Canis lupus familiaris: one gene and its partners. The protein of the gene in region 3 purifies or fractionates together with the protein of the main gene of each other region. This does not show direct contact. Links are inferred from orthologs where the notes say so. Each region holds a gene or a part of one and is shown on either strand. Other genes may lie near its edges.

What was found. The genes of interacting proteins can lie anywhere in the genome.
Region 1: the proteins of BCL7A (region 3) and DPF2 purify together in Homo sapiens (affinity purification with mass spectrometry; 3 studies listed by BioGRID and IntAct, counting the BioPlex papers as one, with this or other methods). This does not show direct contact. The link is inferred for Canis lupus familiaris from reciprocal best matches to the Homo sapiens genes BCL7A and DPF2.
Region 2: the proteins of BCL7A (region 3) and ARID2 purify together in Homo sapiens (affinity purification with mass spectrometry; 3 studies listed by BioGRID and IntAct, counting the BioPlex papers as one, with this or other methods). This does not show direct contact. The link is inferred for Canis lupus familiaris from reciprocal best matches to the Homo sapiens genes BCL7A and ARID2.
Region 4: the proteins of BCL7A (region 3) and PBRM1 purify together in Homo sapiens (affinity purification with mass spectrometry; 3 studies listed by BioGRID and IntAct, counting the BioPlex papers as one, with this or other methods). This does not show direct contact. The link is inferred for Canis lupus familiaris from reciprocal best matches to the Homo sapiens genes BCL7A and PBRM1.
Region 5: the proteins of BCL7A (region 3) and SMARCD3 purify together in Homo sapiens (affinity purification with mass spectrometry; 4 studies listed by BioGRID and IntAct, counting the BioPlex papers as one, with this or other methods). This does not show direct contact. The link is inferred for Canis lupus familiaris from reciprocal best matches to the Homo sapiens genes BCL7A and SMARCD3.

The regions. Positions count from the first base shown.
Region 1 is NC_049239.1:52,345,502-52,349,088, forward strand, and holds part of DPF2 (zinc finger protein ubi-d4), read right to left. Parts: intron 1,595-3,587; coding exon 1,434-1,594; intron 997-1,433; coding exon 889-996; intron 530-888; coding exon 366-529; intron 1-365. UniProt on the Homo sapiens protein: Plays an active role in transcriptional regulation by binding modified histones H3 and H4. Is a negative regulator of myeloid differentiation of hematopoietic progenitor cells. Might also have a role in the development and maturation of lymphoid cells.
Region 2 is NC_049248.1:38,086,865-38,090,451, reverse strand, and holds part of ARID2 (AT-rich interactive domain-containing protein 2), read right to left. Parts: intron 3,405-3,587; coding exon 3,270-3,404; intron 2,635-3,269; coding exon 2,438-2,634; intron 2,174-2,437; coding exon 1-2,173. UniProt on the Homo sapiens protein: Involved in transcriptional activation and repression of select genes by chromatin remodeling (alteration of DNA-nucleosome topology). Required for the stability of the SWI/SNF chromatin remodeling complex SWI/SNF-B (PBAF).
Region 3 is NC_049247.1:7,498,574-7,501,927, forward strand, and holds part of BCL7A (B-cell CLL/lymphoma 7 protein family member A), read right to left. Parts: intron 2,849-3,354; coding exon 2,664-2,848; intron 1-2,663.
Region 4 is NC_049241.1:37,590,941-37,594,527, reverse strand, and holds part of PBRM1 (protein polybromo-1), read right to left. Parts: intron 2,881-3,587; coding exon 2,695-2,880; intron 1,840-2,694; coding exon 1,682-1,839; intron 1,045-1,681; coding exon 781-1,044; intron 1-780. UniProt on the Homo sapiens protein: Involved in transcriptional activation and repression of select genes by chromatin remodeling (alteration of DNA-nucleosome topology). Required for the stability of the SWI/SNF chromatin remodeling complex SWI/SNF-B (PBAF).
Region 5 is NC_049237.1:16,009,441-16,013,027, forward strand, and holds part of SMARCD3 (SWI/SNF-related matrix-associated actin-dependent regulator of chromatin subfamily D member 3), read right to left. Parts: intron 3,071-3,587; coding exon 2,859-3,070; intron 1,139-2,858; coding exon 1,096-1,138; intron 296-1,095; coding exon 173-295; intron 51-172; coding exon 1-50. UniProt on the Homo sapiens protein: Involved in transcriptional activation and repression of select genes by chromatin remodeling (alteration of DNA-nucleosome topology).

The DNA.
Region 1 (3,587 bases), on a different chromosome or scaffold from region 3:
CTTAGTGCAGTGCCTATCATATTTTTAGCTCTTGTTATTTTTGTGTATAGTTTTATCTTCCCTGTTGGTAGGGACCCGGTCTGCTTCACCCATGTAATCCCAGGCACCAAAAAACATCTGTGACAAAAGAAGATGAATGAGAGAGAGTCTCCACTTAGAAGGAAAGGAATAGGAAAAACTGGATGCTAATTGTGAAGCCAGTCAGTATCCAGTGCTAATTAGAGATTGAGCAGGAACAGAACCCCAGGGGCCTGCCACCTGGCCCAAAGCTTTTGCATCCATTCTGATTACTGACTGGGTGACCTCTCATGAAGAGGAGGCTGGTTTCCATCAAAGCTCCCTTAGCCACAGCATTCATCTTGTACCTTCCGTGCTCGACTGTTGGTCACAGGAAACTCGCCCAGGCTGTCATCATCCACTCGGGGATCTGGGGCACCTCGCTTCTCCAGGGGGTCGGTGCGCAATAGAGCTTCTAAACTACTGCCGTCTTGAGAGATCAGCCCCTCTTTCTTCAGGGTCTGGTCTGTGTCTGTAGGCAAGATCAGGATGAGGCGAGACTCAGAAGGGCTGAAAGCAGACCGCTTTGGGTCTACACAGTGCTAGGCCAGCCATGGGCCAGTAACTGTCTTTTGGTCTCTGATTGCCCAGGAACGAAGACACCCCAATACACTCAATACACTCGGCATTGCAACTTACCTGTTTACCTGTCTCCTCTATTAGACTGAGTTCTTTTTTTTTTTTTAGACTGAGTTCTTTAAAGGAAGGAATGACATCTCATTCATTTTAGCATATTCGGCATCTAGCATTGGGCCTGGTACAGAACAGGTGAATAACAGGCCTTTTACATGCAGCAGGTCCTACCCCTGCTCAAGGAGGGGCGTGCTTTACCTGGTTTAATAGACGGGAAAGAAAGTCTTGGATCCTCAGGAGGGTGGGCTCGCCGCTTTTTCCGCCAGCGCCGAGCAGGGTAGGAGTATAGCTGCCCAGAGGCCAATCCTGTGGAAATACAGAAAAGAGAGAAAAGTCAAGCTCTAATCGAGTCCTAGGTAATAATATCAAACACTTTCTAGGGGAGTAGCACTCTCTCCCCATCCCCTCCTGCCCACCATGTTCTAGAGTGAGGGAGGAATATGGTCAGTGAAGGCCTGAGGGTAGGAGGGACAGTTTATGGAAAAGAAAAACAGATGTAAGCTCAGGGGCCTTGGTTAACACATAGCTCCCCAGAAGCCCAACGACAGCTTTAGTAGGGTAGCCCTGCAGAAAACAAAGATGCTGTTATGAACCTGTCTGCTTCATCCTCCCTGGGATTGTAATCAAGGCAAGACCGTATTCACTCATGGGTGGAATGCAGTAAGGAAAACCGTCTCAGCTGACTAATCACTTAAGATAAAGAAGCTTCTTCCTTCCTTGTGCTCCTGAGCCTGAACCCTCACCTGGACCCCGGTGCCGCTTTTCCATCCAGATATAACAGTTGCTCTGGGCTACTCCAGTCTGTGAGTCCAAGAAAGGAAGGCGCACACTGCGCTCAGCACAGAGGCGGGCATTATAATTGTGGCACTGCTCCATGGCATCTTTGTAGTACTGCTCCCCAAGGCTGCAGGAGAGACAAACATCAGGTGTGTGTATGTTGGGGCAGGGTGGAGCACAGGGTGCTGAGCTACCCCTTTCCCTTGCCATCTGCTTCTTTGGAAGGCTCAAGGGACCGGGAGACTGTGGCTTTGGTCCTATTTGCCTCCATTTCTGCCTCATGGGACACTGTGCTCCTTTACTAAGTCATTATGAGGAAAGGAACTTTATAAATAAATTACCTTCAGGAACATGATCTCTCATGTGTCTACTCAAACTTAAGCCTAACCCACAAAGAGGGAGAGAGAAACTAATGTTCATTCTGTGCCTCTTGAGTCCAGCCCTGTGCTAGTCAAGATGCTGTTTCTCTGAACCCTCATGACTCTAAGAAGCAGAGGTTAGTTTTATCACAAATGAGTAAGAGTTCAAGTTCTGGGGGTGGGGATGGTGGGGCTTTCTAAATATATTTAACAAACTATAGCACATCTTTACACAATGAAATTGTTTAGCCATTAAAAAAAGAAGGAAGCTCTTCATGTGCAGACATAAAACAATTTCCAAGGTGACTAGGGGAAAAAAAGGAAGGTACAAGGCTGAGAAGTGTATTAGGATGCTACCATTTATGTAACGAGAGGCGAAAAGAAACTGTAGGCCTCTAGAAAGGAAGACGGGGCGACTGGGGGGAATTTTTCCTATATGCTATTTTATGTCTTTTGAATTTTAAACTAGGTACAGGTTTCTCCTACTACCTGACATATTTACTTATCTGACATATTTACTTTATGTCACTTCGCTTTTACAAAAGACCTACATTAGTATCTGTTTTCACTAACCAAAAGATCCAGAGAGGATTTTCACTTTTATTTTTTTAAAAGGTTTTTATTTATTTATTCATGAGAAACAGAGGGAGAGAGAGGCAGAGACAGGCAGAGGGAGAAGCAGGCTCCACGCAGGGAGCCTGATGCGGGACTTGATCCCGGGTCTCCAGGATCACGCCCTGGGGTGAAGGTGGTGCTAAACCCCTGAGCCACTGAGGCTGCCCGATTGTCACTTTTAAGAAGTGGTAATTGCTTCTTTGCTTTATGCCATGTTGGCTTATAAACAGTTTCATATGAACACTCTACTTGTTTGGAAGTGGGGGGAAACTTGTATTTAGCCAACTAATTAATTCTATATGCTAAATTTAAAAAAATTTTTTCTATATGCTAATTTTAAAGTCAATGGAAAACATCTGAAAATACCTGAACTTCCTTGAAGCCTACTTTTTCACTGAGTACTATCAGAGTGATGTAAACCCTGTTTGCTCAGAGAGGCCCATCCTAGGCCCTTTTCCATTCTCACACTATCAAATTATTTTTTTTTTTAAGATTTTTATTTATTTATTTGACACACCCACACACACCCACAAGAGAACACAAGCAGGGCGAGTGGCAGGGAGCAGGGAGCCCGACTCAGGGCTCCAACCCAGGACCCTGGGATCATGATCTGGGCTAAAGGCAGATGCTTAACCAACTGAGCCACCCAAGCGCCCCTCACACCATCAAATTATATAGGAAAGAACCTTCTTATACTCAAAAGACTCAGTTTGAAATCTAAATCAAGGGCAAACCTTTAAGTGCTTCAAAAAGCTGGAAAACTACACAGTGCCAGGAGTTAACCTGGTTCTACGAAGCATGTATATAGAAGCAATCTCATCTTCCAAGGTTTTTTTTTTTTTTTTTTAATTTATGATAGGCACACAGTAAGAGAGAGAGGCAGAGACATAGGCAGAGGAGAAGCAGACTCCATGCACCGGGAGGCTGACGTGGGATTCGATCCCGGGTCTCCAGGATCGCGCCCTGGGCCAAAGGCAGGCGCCAAACGCTGCGCCACCCAGGGATCCCTCATCCTCAGGGTTTAACAAGCATGTTAATATTGGAACTTTAACTACAGTGATTCGTATTTACATATACAATCAATCTTAAATAAACTGAGGGCAGAGGTGGTTTCTTACCCATAGTTTCCCCAGCACCCATGAAGGT
Region 2 (3,587 bases), on a different chromosome or scaffold from region 3:
CAGATTCCATTAACTAGAGGTTTTTTCAAATCACTTTTGATATCCGGCATGTCCATTTGTTCCAAGTTCTGTTTTCCAGATGTTCCATTCTCACCTAATTCTAACGATGGCCCATTACTGATTAGTGAGCACTGATTAGCCTCACTTTGAATTTTCCCTGAGTTTGAAGGAGGTAGACTTGAGTCACTGTACTTTCTCCCATTTAAAAGACTTCCCACCTGCATTTCATTTTCCTTTGTATCCCCATTGCTGGTGTTCGTGGTTCCTCGCCGGCAGGACGGGTTCTCCATTACTTCAATTTTACGTTCGTGAACATGTAAACCTGTTGCTTCTTTTGCTTCCTCCTCCTTTTGGCAAATTATCTTATCACCTTTGAATGGGGGAGTAGCAGTAGTACAGGATGATTGTCCAGCTGGAGATGTCTGAGTGGCTGGAAGCGTTTGCACCTGAAGTCCAACTCCTGCCTGTGTCCCACTCATGGTAATTCCTGCTGGAGCAATGAGCTGAGTTGCATTTCCCTGACTCACAGTTGCAGTTGCAAAACTTGTATTTGGCACAACTGTTATGGTTACCTGGTTGCCAGAAGTCCCTTGGAAAATGGTTGCTGGGCTGTTTGAAATCAGTGGGCCTGGTAATATTTGTAAGTTCGAGATAGGTACAGTTTGCACTCCGCCTGTGGGTGGCATTGCACTTTGTACCAACTGAACATTTTGCTGCCCAACCAACAGCTGCTGAGCTGAAGACTGCCCCTGCACTCCAAAACCTGCTGCTTGGTTATTGGCCACCTGGTATACCACCTGAGGGCTGGGAGCTCTCGCGTTATTAGGGGGAGGAATCTGTGGAGCTGGGAGAATTAGCTTACCACCCGGTGTCGAAGGGCCACGCTTTGGAAGCAGCAACTGTTTTATCAGACTTGACTCACCAGAAGCAGGCTGACCAACGCCTGCATTCGCTTGCTGTGGCTGAACTTGCATCTGTACTTGTTGGGGCTGCTGAACCTGTACTTGTACCTGTTGCGGTGAGGGTGCTGGTGAATGCTGCTGCTGTTGCTGCCTTTTCACAGATAGCATCTGACTGACGGTAGGAGGTGGTCCCTGTGATTGAGGGGTGGAAGATGATGACATGGCAGTAGGAACTTGGTTATTAGTAGCTGGGACAGGTGATGGTGAGGAAGATGGAGTTATGTTTGGTTGCCCAGTTAACTGAACTGTCTGACCAGCTGGAAGAGCTGCTGGATTAGCAAGAACAATTTGGTGAATGGCTGGTGCATAAGTCTGACCTTGTTGAGCTGGCTGGCTTACAATCACTACACTCTGTTGGGTTGGCTGCTGTGGTTGTTGAATGGGCTGTTGTACCACTGTTGATGAAACTTGCTGAGAAGGGAGAGGTTTTGGTGCAATGTTCTGAAACCCTACCCTTGAGGGTTGTGGACTTGGGACACCAGCAATGGTAACCATTTGTCCCGTAGCTACCTGAAAATTCTGTACTGAAGTTGCTGAGACAATATTGGATGCAGAAGTTGTTACATACTGTGAAGGTGCTATGATAACAGTGTCTTGCGGCTGGCTACCAGCTGACGTCTGTTGAGATGAAGTTTGCACAGGTTGGGGTGATGTGGTGATTAACTGTTGACCCTGTGATACTGAAGAAGTACATGCTGGTATGTTCTGTACTCTGCCAAATATATGACTCTGTGGGACAGCTTGTTGAATTACTGTAACAGGAGTGCCGGAAGGTATCTGTCCTGGTACCACTGTGTGTAATGGAGACTGTTGTGGAATTACAGATGGATGATGAAGCAATGTCTGGGAATTTACAACCGTAACAGGTTGTGGCCCTGTACTGTGATTCTGAACCACAGAACTCTGAGCAGCTCCACCTCCCACAGCAATGCTAACAGGAACTGCTGTCTGGGATATAGAATTCTGGATTACTGTAGCCTTAACAACTTCACAAGGAATTGGAGCTTTATTTTGAATGACAGTCACTGGAGCATTTTGCTGCTGGTGGGTATGAACTGCAGGATTTGGTGGAATTCTGGAAACAGTCTGTGCCACAGTATGAACACCTTGTACTGGAAAAGACATTTGTGTTGCAGTCAAATTTGAAGACTGGTTGGTAACAGAAGTCCTCTGAAAATGGTTTCCTACAGTTTGTGGTCCATGAGGGATTCCTGAAAATATGAGGGAAAGGTCAAAATTCATAAGGAAAGGACTGAAAAGCTGAATGTAGGCATTGCTTTACTTAATACAAAAGAAAAATCCTTTTAAGAAATTAACATTTAACACCTCTGCATCATATGAATATGATAAAAGTAACAGAATAAGCAAAATGCAACTGGAAAAACAAGGAAAAATTATTCATTTTAAATTTATATAATATACTGTTTCATTTTGTTTGTTAAGTTAGTAATACTTAAAAACTCAAAAATTAATACCTGCAGGTGAAGGACTTGGAGATACATCAGGAACAGAATCAACACGAACAACAGGAGTAGAAACTGGTTGCTGCTGATAGTACATCTGAATGGGAAGTGGTATAGCCCTCCTTTTTACTCCTACTACATGAATATGTGCCTGCCCGTTGCTACTGGAATCCTCCACTCTCTTCACTGTATGATTTGGAAAGACCGTTCTGTAAAGTACACACATAACTTAGTTTTATAAACTAGCAAACGAGCAAAAAACATTTCAAACAATGTTTACATGAACAGTAGCAGGATAGTTACTGCTACTAATACGAACCAGTATGATTCATATAGATCTATTCTGTAAGGGTGGGAAGCAAAGAAAAAATATAAAAGATCAATTTCCCAATTTTTAAAATCATTATTAACATTGTTGGGTTTTAAATAATTCTATACCATATCTAATGAACAAAGAAGCTGCATCTAGGCAATGTCTATTTTATGAACTTTTGCAAAATATCAAAAGCCTTGATATTTGAAGATAAGAGTATTAGTTGTAGACTATTATTCAAGATAAAAAGGGCAAAAGTCATGTCTCTAACATATTTCAGTGGGTAGAAAGAAGTTTTTCCCTTCTCTTTCTTTGATAAGCCTCATAATGTTTAAACACAAACATGAGGTTTGATTTCCAAAAATCTCCTTGTATTTAAATTTCCATCTTATTACAACATAGCCTATATGAAATTTCAAGTAGTAGAAATATTTAAAAGTAGATAGATAGTTGGTATTTTCCCCAAAGAGCAAGAGATATTCTAGGTGATTCAAATTAACTTTGTTTAAAGTTAATAACTAAACATCCTACCTAAGACATTTATAAAATCCAGTTGAAGTTAGGATTCCACCACGAGCTAATTTACTGCACGTTGAGAGGTACTCAGAATACATCTCTGCTCGAGAGACAGAACAGTCTGGATTTACTTCAAAATGAGCATTTAGCCTAAAAAGGAGAAAAATAAATGGCATTACGCAATATATTACAGTAGAGTTCATATTTAAATATAGTAAAACTACTTGAAGGCAATGTATCATAAGGTAATATTTATGCCTGTCAATCAAATTTGACTATCTCATGTTATTAGCAAAAATGCATGCTAGGTTTTAGCCTGATGAAACTAAAAGG
Region 3 (3,354 bases):
AGAAACAAACACAGAACATAAAACCCACTGATGCTTTCCCACTGACTTCAGAGCAAAATGCCAGCTCCTTACCAGGCTGAGAAGACCCGGCACCCAACTGGTTGTTCTCTTCCTTGCCTTCTAGACCCAGACCCCTGGCCTTCCTTTTTGTTCTCAGGCTTGTTCCTATTTCCAGGCCCAAACCTCTGGTTCCCTCTGTCCAGAAAGCCTGCTCTCATGGCCCTGTATTCTCATCCTTCAAATTCCTGCTCACAGCCCATTTCTCTGCCTACACCAGCCCAAACAATGTTCCACTGTCAGGCCTCCTTTCATCCTCATCTTGGTTTTTCTGGAGCACGTGCTATGACCTTGTCATCTGCTTGTCCCTGCTATATCCTGGCTGTGTCTCTTCCTCACCCACCACATCATGAGCCCCATGAGGGCAGGGAGGGACCCCATCTCTGGCTCATCCTGGGTCCCTAGTATCTAACACAGGGCCTGGTCCACTATGGGTACCCAGTGTATGTTTAATATAGAGACCCCAGTGCCTTGATGTGGGCTGCGTATGAGCTTCTTGTGGCAGACCCTGAGGCATCATAGAGAGGCTGTAAGAGCCGCCTCTGTGTTCTCCCTTCTTCTCATTCTGAAAGTGATGAAAGCTCAATGTGGTCATGACAGGACAAAGCAGGTACTGTGCCTTCTTCAGAGGATGCTGGGTCCCAATGGAGAGGAGGCCTTTGGTTCTGTAGAGCACTTGGATGGGAGGACAGCATGTGAGCTTGGGAGTGGAGCCTGCAGAGAGGTGAACTGCTCTGCGTACCAGAAGGTACAGAAGAGGACGGAGAAACAGAAAGGGGAACAAAAGAGAGGAGCTACAAGCTCAGGACAGTTGAATACAGAGAACAGCCAGAGTATTCCTCCTGTTGGGAGGTTGGGGAAGCTTTTTTTTTTTTTAAACACAGGAATGGCCAAATGTCAATGTCGAGTTGCTTAACTAAAATGCATCCTCCTCCACTTTGCTCATAGACCTGGGAGCTCTGTGGACGAATATTTGTGTCTGTGTATACATGAGAACAGTGGAAGAGGCTCCATTTCAGGTCTGGGTCCCCTGGAAATGGGACTGGAGGTTGGGGGCATGTTAGAATGTAAGAGCCCTGTACCTTTCAGATATCTGAGGGGTGGGGCAGGGCGGGGGGTAACACTAGATGCCGCCAGGGTATGGATCAAAGTTTCAAGCTAAGTTGAAAAAACAAAACAAAACAAAACAAAACAAAACTGAGTTTGGAAGGCCAGGAGATCCCAGCAGACACCCTGGTTTTTACAAACTATACACAAGGCTTTGATTTTTTTTTTTTTTTTAGGGATTGAGATCCTTTTTTTTTTTTTTTTAATTTTTATTTATTTATGATAGGCACACAGTGAGAGAGAGAGAGGCCGAGACACAGGCAGAGGGAGAAGCAGGCTCCATGTACCAGGAGCCCGACGTGGGATTTGATCCCCGGTCTCCAGGATCATGCCCTGGGCCAAAGGCAGGCACTAAACCGCTGCGCCACCCAGGGATCCCAAGGCTTTGATTTTTAATCAAGTGGGCTCATGCTATGCCTGAGGTTCTAGGTCTTGCTTTCCTCATTTCACATTGTGAGGATAATTCTTTACTGTCTGTACCTGGGTCAACCACACCCTTTTTAACAGCTGCACACCCATCTGTTTCATCCACGACCACAGATTATTTAACCAGTCCCCTTTCGACAAACTTAGGTTGTGGCCAATTTCCTGCCACTGCAAACATATCTTCCATCAACACTCCTGTGTCTTTGGTCATTTGGAGGAGTGTCCTGCAGGTAAGGGGATAGAGACATTAGAGTCCAGGAGGCACTTCCCCTTGGGGGAGGCCTGGCTTACGGCTCTGCAAAGTGCAGACCACATCCTGCCACCCTCTGCCTCTTCCAACCTTTCTGCTGCTACTTTTTGTCAGTTTCTCCTGAGGTACTAGAAGATCGTTTTATTAGTTGAAGTTTTGACACCTCGGGGTCCCCAAACTACTCATTTTAGGTGAGCCCAGAGGGTTGATAGTGAAAAATCACAATGATGGCATCTGGGGCATTCCCGTGTCCAGCTCCACACCAAGTGTGTTAGCTGTATTCTCTCATCCCATCTGTGCTCTGGCCCCAAGACAGTTTCTATGATCCCATTTTGGCAGTTGCAGACAAGGAGGCTCGGTTATGCTAAGTTAAGGAGCTGGGATTCGAATCCAGGGTGTTTGTTCCTAGCCAGTAGCCACCTGTTCCTGCACTGTCTGATTCAGACCAGATGCTGACAAACAGTGATGACCCAGAACGGGGTCGAAGCAAGGGGGCAGTGCAGTCAGTTGCAAAATTCCAAAACATGATTCATCTTGCATTTAGGATTCTGAAGACTTATTGTCCCAGCAATAAAGGAAGTTGACTTTAAGTCACTAGAGCAGGCAATGCTTTTGTGGACCTGGGTAAACAAAGTGATAAAGCTGAGGCTGGGAAAGAGGATGCCTCCTCTTCCTATATCCTCCTCCCTGAGGGCTGGGCCCTGTGTCCTGGCCTTTGCTGTAGCTCTAATGCCCAGGACGGACACAGGATACTCACGAATCCTGCTCCATGGATACAGGGAAAAAACAACAAAACAAAATAACAAAACACCTTTCAACGTACCCCCAACACCCCAACGGGCTCCTGGCTGATCTGGCTGCCCCTCTGAGGCCTCGATCGAGGTACCTGAGAGATTGCGGACATCTCTGCAGCTAGACCCGCGTCTCCAGATGGCTGCCGTTCTACTTTCTCTGAACTGTTCATCGAGTTTTCCATTGAAGACTGTGAATTCTGCTCGTCAGAAGCATCTAAGGGAAAAGCAAGATGACAGAAGCTGTTTTCAGACACGTGAGATGTGGAACCAGATGGACCAATTACTAAAAATACCTGGAACTGGGTAGTTTTTGTGGCCAGGCGGTCTGTCAGGGTTGCAAGGAGCTGGGAGGGCTTGGGAAGCCTCTTAAATTTTTAGTGAGGTCATGTTAAGTGGCTGGCCCTAGGGCCTCCAGCCCTTTCCTGCACACCCACTACCTGCCGCCTGCCCCAGAGGACATCTTAGGGATGCTGCATGCTTTGTGCCATGTGCATCTGGCGCCCTCCAGTGGGCACAACATGTTCCAAACATCATGGCTGCTGACTCCTCCCTCTTTCACTCCAGAGCCTGCATGCTGCACCTGGGGAGCCTGTGGAGGTAACTGCCCTTTTGTAGACATTTCTCTTAATAATATGGGTATTTTCCTGACCATCAGAGCAATGACTGATCATTGCATAGAAACAGAAAATACAGGGAAAAAAAGTTAGAAACAGTGATTAT
Region 4 (3,587 bases), on a different chromosome or scaffold from region 3:
AAAGGGTTAAAAGAATGGAATTTGAGTACTCTGTGATTAGCTCTCAAGGCATTAAAAAATTTTTTTTGATGTTGTCCACTTCGTTACATCTCTTCTGGATTCTTCAGTAATTTACAGTGTCCTAGAAAATTATTCATTTTATTCAGGCTTTCAAATTTACTAACAGAAATGTAAATTCTTCAAATTTCTTCTACATGTGTATGTCTGAACTTAATTGCCTTATTTTTTTATTAGGATAGTTGGTAGTTTATCTCATTGGACATGTCAAGAATTAGCACTTGGAGAATTTAAATTTTAAGAATTAAAGTTTTTTAAGAATAAAAAGTTAAAGAATTAAAAATTACTTTTAAATTCTACTGTAGTTTTCTAAGCCTTAATTTCTGTCCTTCTTATATAATTCCCTTCTTTCTGTTTGGCTAAGGTTTTTTGTTGTTGTACTTTTTCATTCTGAATTTGAATGCTTTATTCACTTATTTTCTGGAATAGGTTTTTTTTTTTTTGGAATAGGTTTTTAAAAAAAAATTTTTTTTTAAAGATTTTATGTATTTATTTGAGAAAGAGAGCATAAACAAGGGAAAAGGGGAGAGGGAGAGGGAGAAGTAGGCTCCTTGCTGAGCAGGGAGCCCCATGCAGGGCTCGATCCCAGAACCCCAGGATCATGACCTAAGCCAAAGGGAGATGTTTAACTGAATGAGCCACCCAGGCTCAGTGCCTTGGAATAGGCCTTGGAACAGGTATTTTGAAATGTAAAATTCTTTTGTGTGGCTTCTAGCTACCTACCTTTTCCAAGTTATAACTGTCTTCAGTTCGACTGTCTTCTGAGTTGTCTGTGTTCTTCTCATCATCCCCTTTATCTGCATTTGCAAATACAGAGGCCACTCGGACCACAGGCAAGGGCACATCCCGAGGGACAAACCTAACGGAGCTAATGGGCATGGTCCACAGTTTAATTTTCTTAAAAGATTTGGTTTTGGCAGAATACCGTGATTCACAGACAAAAACATCCTCATCTCGAAAGTTTTCTGGGCATAATTTAAAGTATTCCTGGGAGATATAAGAATAAGATTATTAGTTAGGTGCATTTTCTGAAAACCAGTTAACCAAAAAAACCAAAACCACACGTCAATCAAGCAAACGAACAAAAATAAACCGTTAAGACTTTCTGATAGTTAACAACAAATAGTAAATGGTTAGAGATGTACAAGCATTTCCCTGCTACAGAATGGCTTATTAAATACATATATCCTTTAGCTTACTAACTGCCCTTTTGAAAATATATTAGCATTTCATACAGCTTTATAATGTTCCTAAAAGCTTTGGATAGGGCTCAATGTGCCTGTATCAGATAGATACACAAAGTATACTTTGTTACCTAAAAAGCACACTGATAATTTTAAATGATCTTTCAGAAAATGTCATTCTCAAAAATTAGCCTGGCAATATAAAAAATTTTAAGCTAACCGCATATAGTTATATAGTGTAGGCAGCCAATGGTGGTCTTTCATCATCATGATCAGATTAATTTCTTCCCAAATCTTTACACACAGCTATATAGATACAGCTTAAAAAATTTTTTTGAAGATTTTTACAGAGCACCTAATTTGTAAATATTATTATTTTTTGTTTGAAAATGTTATTTTCATGGAATGATTTGTACTTTGGGGAATAATGAGTTTCTTACCTTGACAAACATGACCACACATTTTCCTAGAATTTTACTAACAGGAACTTTATTGTAATAGTCACTCTTAAAAACTTCTTTTTCTAGAAATTTTCGTGTAGCCAGATGGAATGTTTCATTTGGCCGATAAAACCAACAGCCATACAACCATTTTTCACCTCAAAAACAAAAAGGGGGAGAGAGGGAATTACCATTAATAGAAATCACACATTCTTTGCAAAATGAGCAAATTCTCCATCCATTCTGCCATGGCCTGAACATAATAACAATGTGCTTTTTAGGCCACAGTTTCTTAAAATATTTATCTTAAAGAAATGATACTTTAAAGTAATGAAGAATGATGAGGTCTAAAAAAAATACAACTTTCCCCCTCATATTAAAAGATGTATAATATACATGATGAATAAGGTGATGATACCTGCCCTACTCTGTTGTGGACAGGATACACACTCAGGGGAAGGAATACAAAGGTATTTCATGAGAAGCAGCTGAGGGAACTGGACTGCCTGAATCATATCTCTGCTCTGGCTTCATTAACTCCTATTTGTTCTCCATGTTCTAAATTAAAGGCAACTTTACTAGGACGCCTTTTTGAAATCAAATTCTAAGTCAAGGTCCATATCACACTATAATAATTTCCTTTTCATTTGTGATTTGTACCAGAGTGGTATTGCCAGAGGCAAAACATGAGTCCTTAGTTCCTGTGAGGCTCTGCCATCCTACAGTTTGGTTTACTGTGTGTTTTAAAGAAATACCCATTGAGTGAATGAATCTCAACCTCATTTCAGGAAGTTGTGCCTTTGACTCAACTGTGCCACTCACTGGCCCAAGAGTGCTAGATCCTATGTTTTTCATATAGAGGTTGCTAGGTTCTCTTTACCAATAATACACTGTAGAACAACTATTGTTGCAAGGAATAAAATGTCTGAGTTACAATTTTTTTCCCTGAGGACCGAGGAGGAGTAAAACAGTCACATGTCACCAGCGTGCCCTTTGATTGAAAACCAACTTACCAGCAGAATCTTCCCACAGCCTCTCAATGCAGACTATGTGTGGTTGCAGGCTGGCTTCTGCGGGCTCCACATACACGTAGTCTCCAACGTGGTACATGCTGTTCTTAAAGCTGCAGTCCTGGCTGTATGTGCGATGTAAGCCAGAGAGGCCTGTGGTGCCTGAGGAGTCTTCACTCTTTTCAGCTTCTTCGGTGAAAAAGACAAAAAGGCTCCCATTAAAGAGATATGGCAATCAGATGTAGGATTCAAACAACAGGGCAGCCCCGGTGGCTCAGCGGTTTAGTGCCGCCTTAAGTCCAGGGTGTGATCCTGGAGTTCCGGGATGGAGTCCCATGTCGGGCTCCCTGCATGGAGCCTGTTTCTCCCTCTGCCTCTCTCTCTCTGTCTCTCATGAATAAATAAATAAAATCTTAAAAAAAAAAAAAAGGATTCAAACAACACATACTAATATATTTCATTCTTTTCTAGACCTTCAAGGGCGAGATTCAGGACAAATAGCAGGATATCTGTATTCCCGAGAGCCTCTACTCAAAATTGCCTTTTTGAGTTACAACCAACCGCCCTCATTTAAATAAATACATAAATAAACAAAGGGTCTACACAATAAAAATAACCACGTTAATAATATATGCTCAATGCAGTCATTCCTGATGATAAACAAAGGTATAAAGAAGAAAACAGATTACCTGTAAAATCATGGAAATAATCTCATATATACTTCCTCTCCATCTTAAAGTCTCTAAATTTTTTTTTACCCTAACAGTTATTATATGGGTATGTCAAAATTAATGGAATCTTAGAATTAAGGAAATAGAGAACATGCGTATCATACAATATAATGTAAACTATATATATCTACACTAAAGATACACTGAAGAGGGGTGCCTGGGCAG
Region 5 (3,587 bases), on a different chromosome or scaffold from region 3:
TTCGCAGGGTTAAAAGTATTGGAGATATAAAGACGCAGCTTCCGCTTTTGCTGTAGAAATAAAGAATATAGTACAAGAGCAAACACTGTGTGCTCCCATTCCCGGGGCAGTCCCACTTTTCCATTCCTGGAACAGGACCTAGAGACCTCTTCATGCCCCCAAATCAAGACACCTTCATTGGCCTCTTCAGAGCCTCCTGGATGTCCACCCGCTTCCGCATGATGGTTTGATCCAGTTTCCTCTCAAACGCCAGCAGGTCCATATAAGCCTGGGACTCGGGGACCAGCTCCCGGATCTGGAAGAGAAGGAGCAAGGCAGGGAACCTGGGGCTCAGCCAATCTTGTGGGTGGAATGTGCGCCTCATGCAGTCCCAGGGTACAAAAAGCATAGCGGGGAACTGGCCAGGTTCGGGGCATGGAACTCGGAGAGTGCAAATGGGGACTTCTCCCCAGGACTGCATATCCAGCAGAAAGGACCTCCACATGTGGGGATAAAAGCTACTTCTTCCTCTAGGGGTTTCTGTGCGTATTATCGCCACGGGAGGCCCTGGCAGCCACGGAGCCCAGGAACTGGGCTTCACCTCCTCATCTTGTCCTTTCCCTTGTCATACGGCCTCTGAACCTCCCTTGGGTGTCTGCAAAGTGGCTAGGACCCTGGAGTGCCTGAGACCGAGGATGTCGCTGCTTGCCTCTACCCTGGCATCCTACTTTGTCACTCCACCTACCTTCTCAGCTGCAGTACCCCCCACCCCAACATCTAGCTCAGCCTGGCTTCACTTATGACATCCAGGCCTTCTGGCCGGCTTCAGTTCCCCTGCCAGTCTTGGGTCCCCTGGAGCTCAGTCCACTGCACCCGGGCGCAAGACCCTACCTCTTATGGCTCCTTCGCTCCTTCCCTCTGCCCTACTCCCTCCCTCTGGCCAGGGAGCCCCACTTCTTAATTAGCTTTTTAAACAAAAAGTGAAAGTGGCTGTGACACTGAAGCTCTGCTACTGAGGGGGGAGGGGAAGCGGCCCAGGGTGGTGGGGTAGAGGGGGAGGAGGCAGAGCAGCAAAGGGTGGGGGGTGGGCTGGGGGCTGCTGTGAAAGGCACTCACCCTTTGAGGGAGGATTTTGTCAGCCATCTTCCTCCTCTTGGCACTGTACATTTTTTAAAGAAAAAACCAGGTTACCATGGCGACAGATCTGGGAGTAACGAGGCCACCTGCTAAATTATCCCGACATCTCCACCCGCCTGGCTGGGGTTCCCACAGCCCGCTTGTCTGCCCGCCCAAGGGGCAACGGCAGTGGTGTCTGGCATGGCGCTATGTCCTCTTGTGGGGAGCAGATGTGGCCCCATCCTTTATTTAGTCTGGGAGCCCCTTTCTACCCCACCACACCCTCAGGCCAGAGAAATTTAGACTTAGAAGGGGTGAGGGGGGTGGGGGAGCTGCAAAAGTGTTTGAGAAAAGCTAGGGAGAGGGAGGACAGAGGGGAGGGAGGAGGGATTCTGAGGACTTTCCCTTTCTGTTAAGCAGGGGTGTACAGCCTGAGGTGGCCTGAGCTCAGCGGGAAGCAGAGCCAACAACCTCTCCCATCCCTGGAGCAGGAGGTGATGGGTGAAGCTGGTGAGGACTTGCACCCCTGGCAACCCGGGGTTGGAAGAGGATGCTGACAGGCTATGGGATCACCTGCCAACAGGGTCCAGAAACACACCCGTAGGGATCCAGAGAGAGGGATGTCCTGCAGGGTGTGACTGCAGACTGGACTTGAGGTGGCAGCTGGGACTTGAACTCTTCTTGATCTGCTAGCTGCTTCTGATTCCCAAAAGCACCCCAGAAAATCCTTGGCCAGTTGAGATTAGCACCCAGCCTGGGGCATGGCTCTGTACCATCCCTGTGTGGTGGTAACCACTGCCCCCTCCTGTCCAAAAGCCTATTCTAAGGCTAGGTAAGCATCTTTCCTGAAAGGTCTGATTTGTTTTGAAGAAATTATCTGTGTGAAACTCTCCATCTATACAAGACAAATCAGGAACATGTTTACTGTATAAAAAGATGATTCACTTTGCAAAAGAATTCATCATGGGATTCCTATAAATGGTGAATTTTCCTTGATGTGTAAAAAATATTTAATAATGAGGTAAAATCCATATTACTCCTTTTATAGGACTCCATCTGGTGTGCAAAGGGAAGCATGTGTGTTTGGTTAAATAGTGAAACCCAGAGGGGCATCTCTCTTGCCAGACACCAGCAGGGGCTTTTGGGGTGCCACCAGCTGGCTCAGACAGGGAAATGGGCTGGCCCCTGGTGGCTCCTGGGGGCAGACCTGGTCCAGAAGACAGATTAGGGCAGCTCTTTAACCTCTAAGTGCCTAAGAACTACCTGAGAGCAGGACCGTTATGGAGACCACCCACCCACAGGGCACATCCCCAGACTCCACCCCCCTGGCCAGAGAGTCAGATTTAGACTATCTCGAGTGGGGCTTTTAAAACAGTCAAGCCAGGGGACTGGGGACGGTGCACTGGACAGCCACACTTTGAGAAACACAATCCCTGAAGCTCAGCCCTCGGCCCTCCTGCCAGCCCCACCCCCACCCCCACCCCAAAGACGGAAGCATCTCCCAGAACCTGGGGACGAGGGGTGGAGAGAAGGAGCGAGCAGGTGACAAGGAGAAGGGCGCGACGGCCGCAGCCTCAGTCTCTACGGTGGGCACACAAAGGAACCGGACCAGTGCCCCCTCGGCCCACCTCCCCAGAGGGCATCCCACCCAGGACGGCTCGTTCCCGGCCGATCCTCCCTCCCTGCTCCTTCTAGGCTCGCTGCTCAGCCACCCCGTCCCTGGGGTCGCGTGGCCCGCCCCCTCCGCGCTGGGCCCCACTCACCTGCGGCTCCGCGCGGGGGCGGTGGGCACCGGCTGGCCCTGGCTCTGGGCCTGGCTCTGGCCGGGCGGGGGCGCTGCTCGCTTGCGGGCGGGCTCCATGCCCGCGGGGGCCAGGCCGGGTCGCACGGCGGGGCTGCCCATGTACGGGGAGCCCGGGGGGCCCATGGGCGCCCCCTGGTGGGGCATCCGGGCTCCAGACGGCATCCCGGGGCGCTGGGGGGCGGGGAGGGGGGGCGAGGGGCGGAGGTGAGGCAGAAACAGGCGCCCGCCGGTCAGCTCAGGGCCCCGGTTCCGGGCGCGCAGAGCCGCGTGTCTCCCACCCCGCGCCCCCCCCCGCCCCCCCGGCCGGTGACCCTGATGCCGCCCGCGTGAGCGAGGGGTGGGAGGGGCAGGGGCGCCGCCACCGCGCGGCTGGGCGGAGGGGGCTCTGCGTCTCGCCGCAGGAAGCTAACTGAAGCCAGGCAACTGCACTGGGCACTGCCAGCCTCGGATTTGCGGAAGGTACCGCGAAAATGAATATTAATGGCGCCTTTCAACCTTTTCAAAGGATGTTCACAACCACATTCTCCTCTGCAAGACGGACCGGACGGAGGGGGTCCTTCCAACCCCACTTGACAGATGAGGGAACCGCAGCTCAAGGAGAAAAGCGACCTAGCCAAGGTCACCCCGCTCCTCCTGGCCAAGGTGGCATGGAACTGCCGGTTCCCCGGGTGTGGGGGCTCTCTGGTCT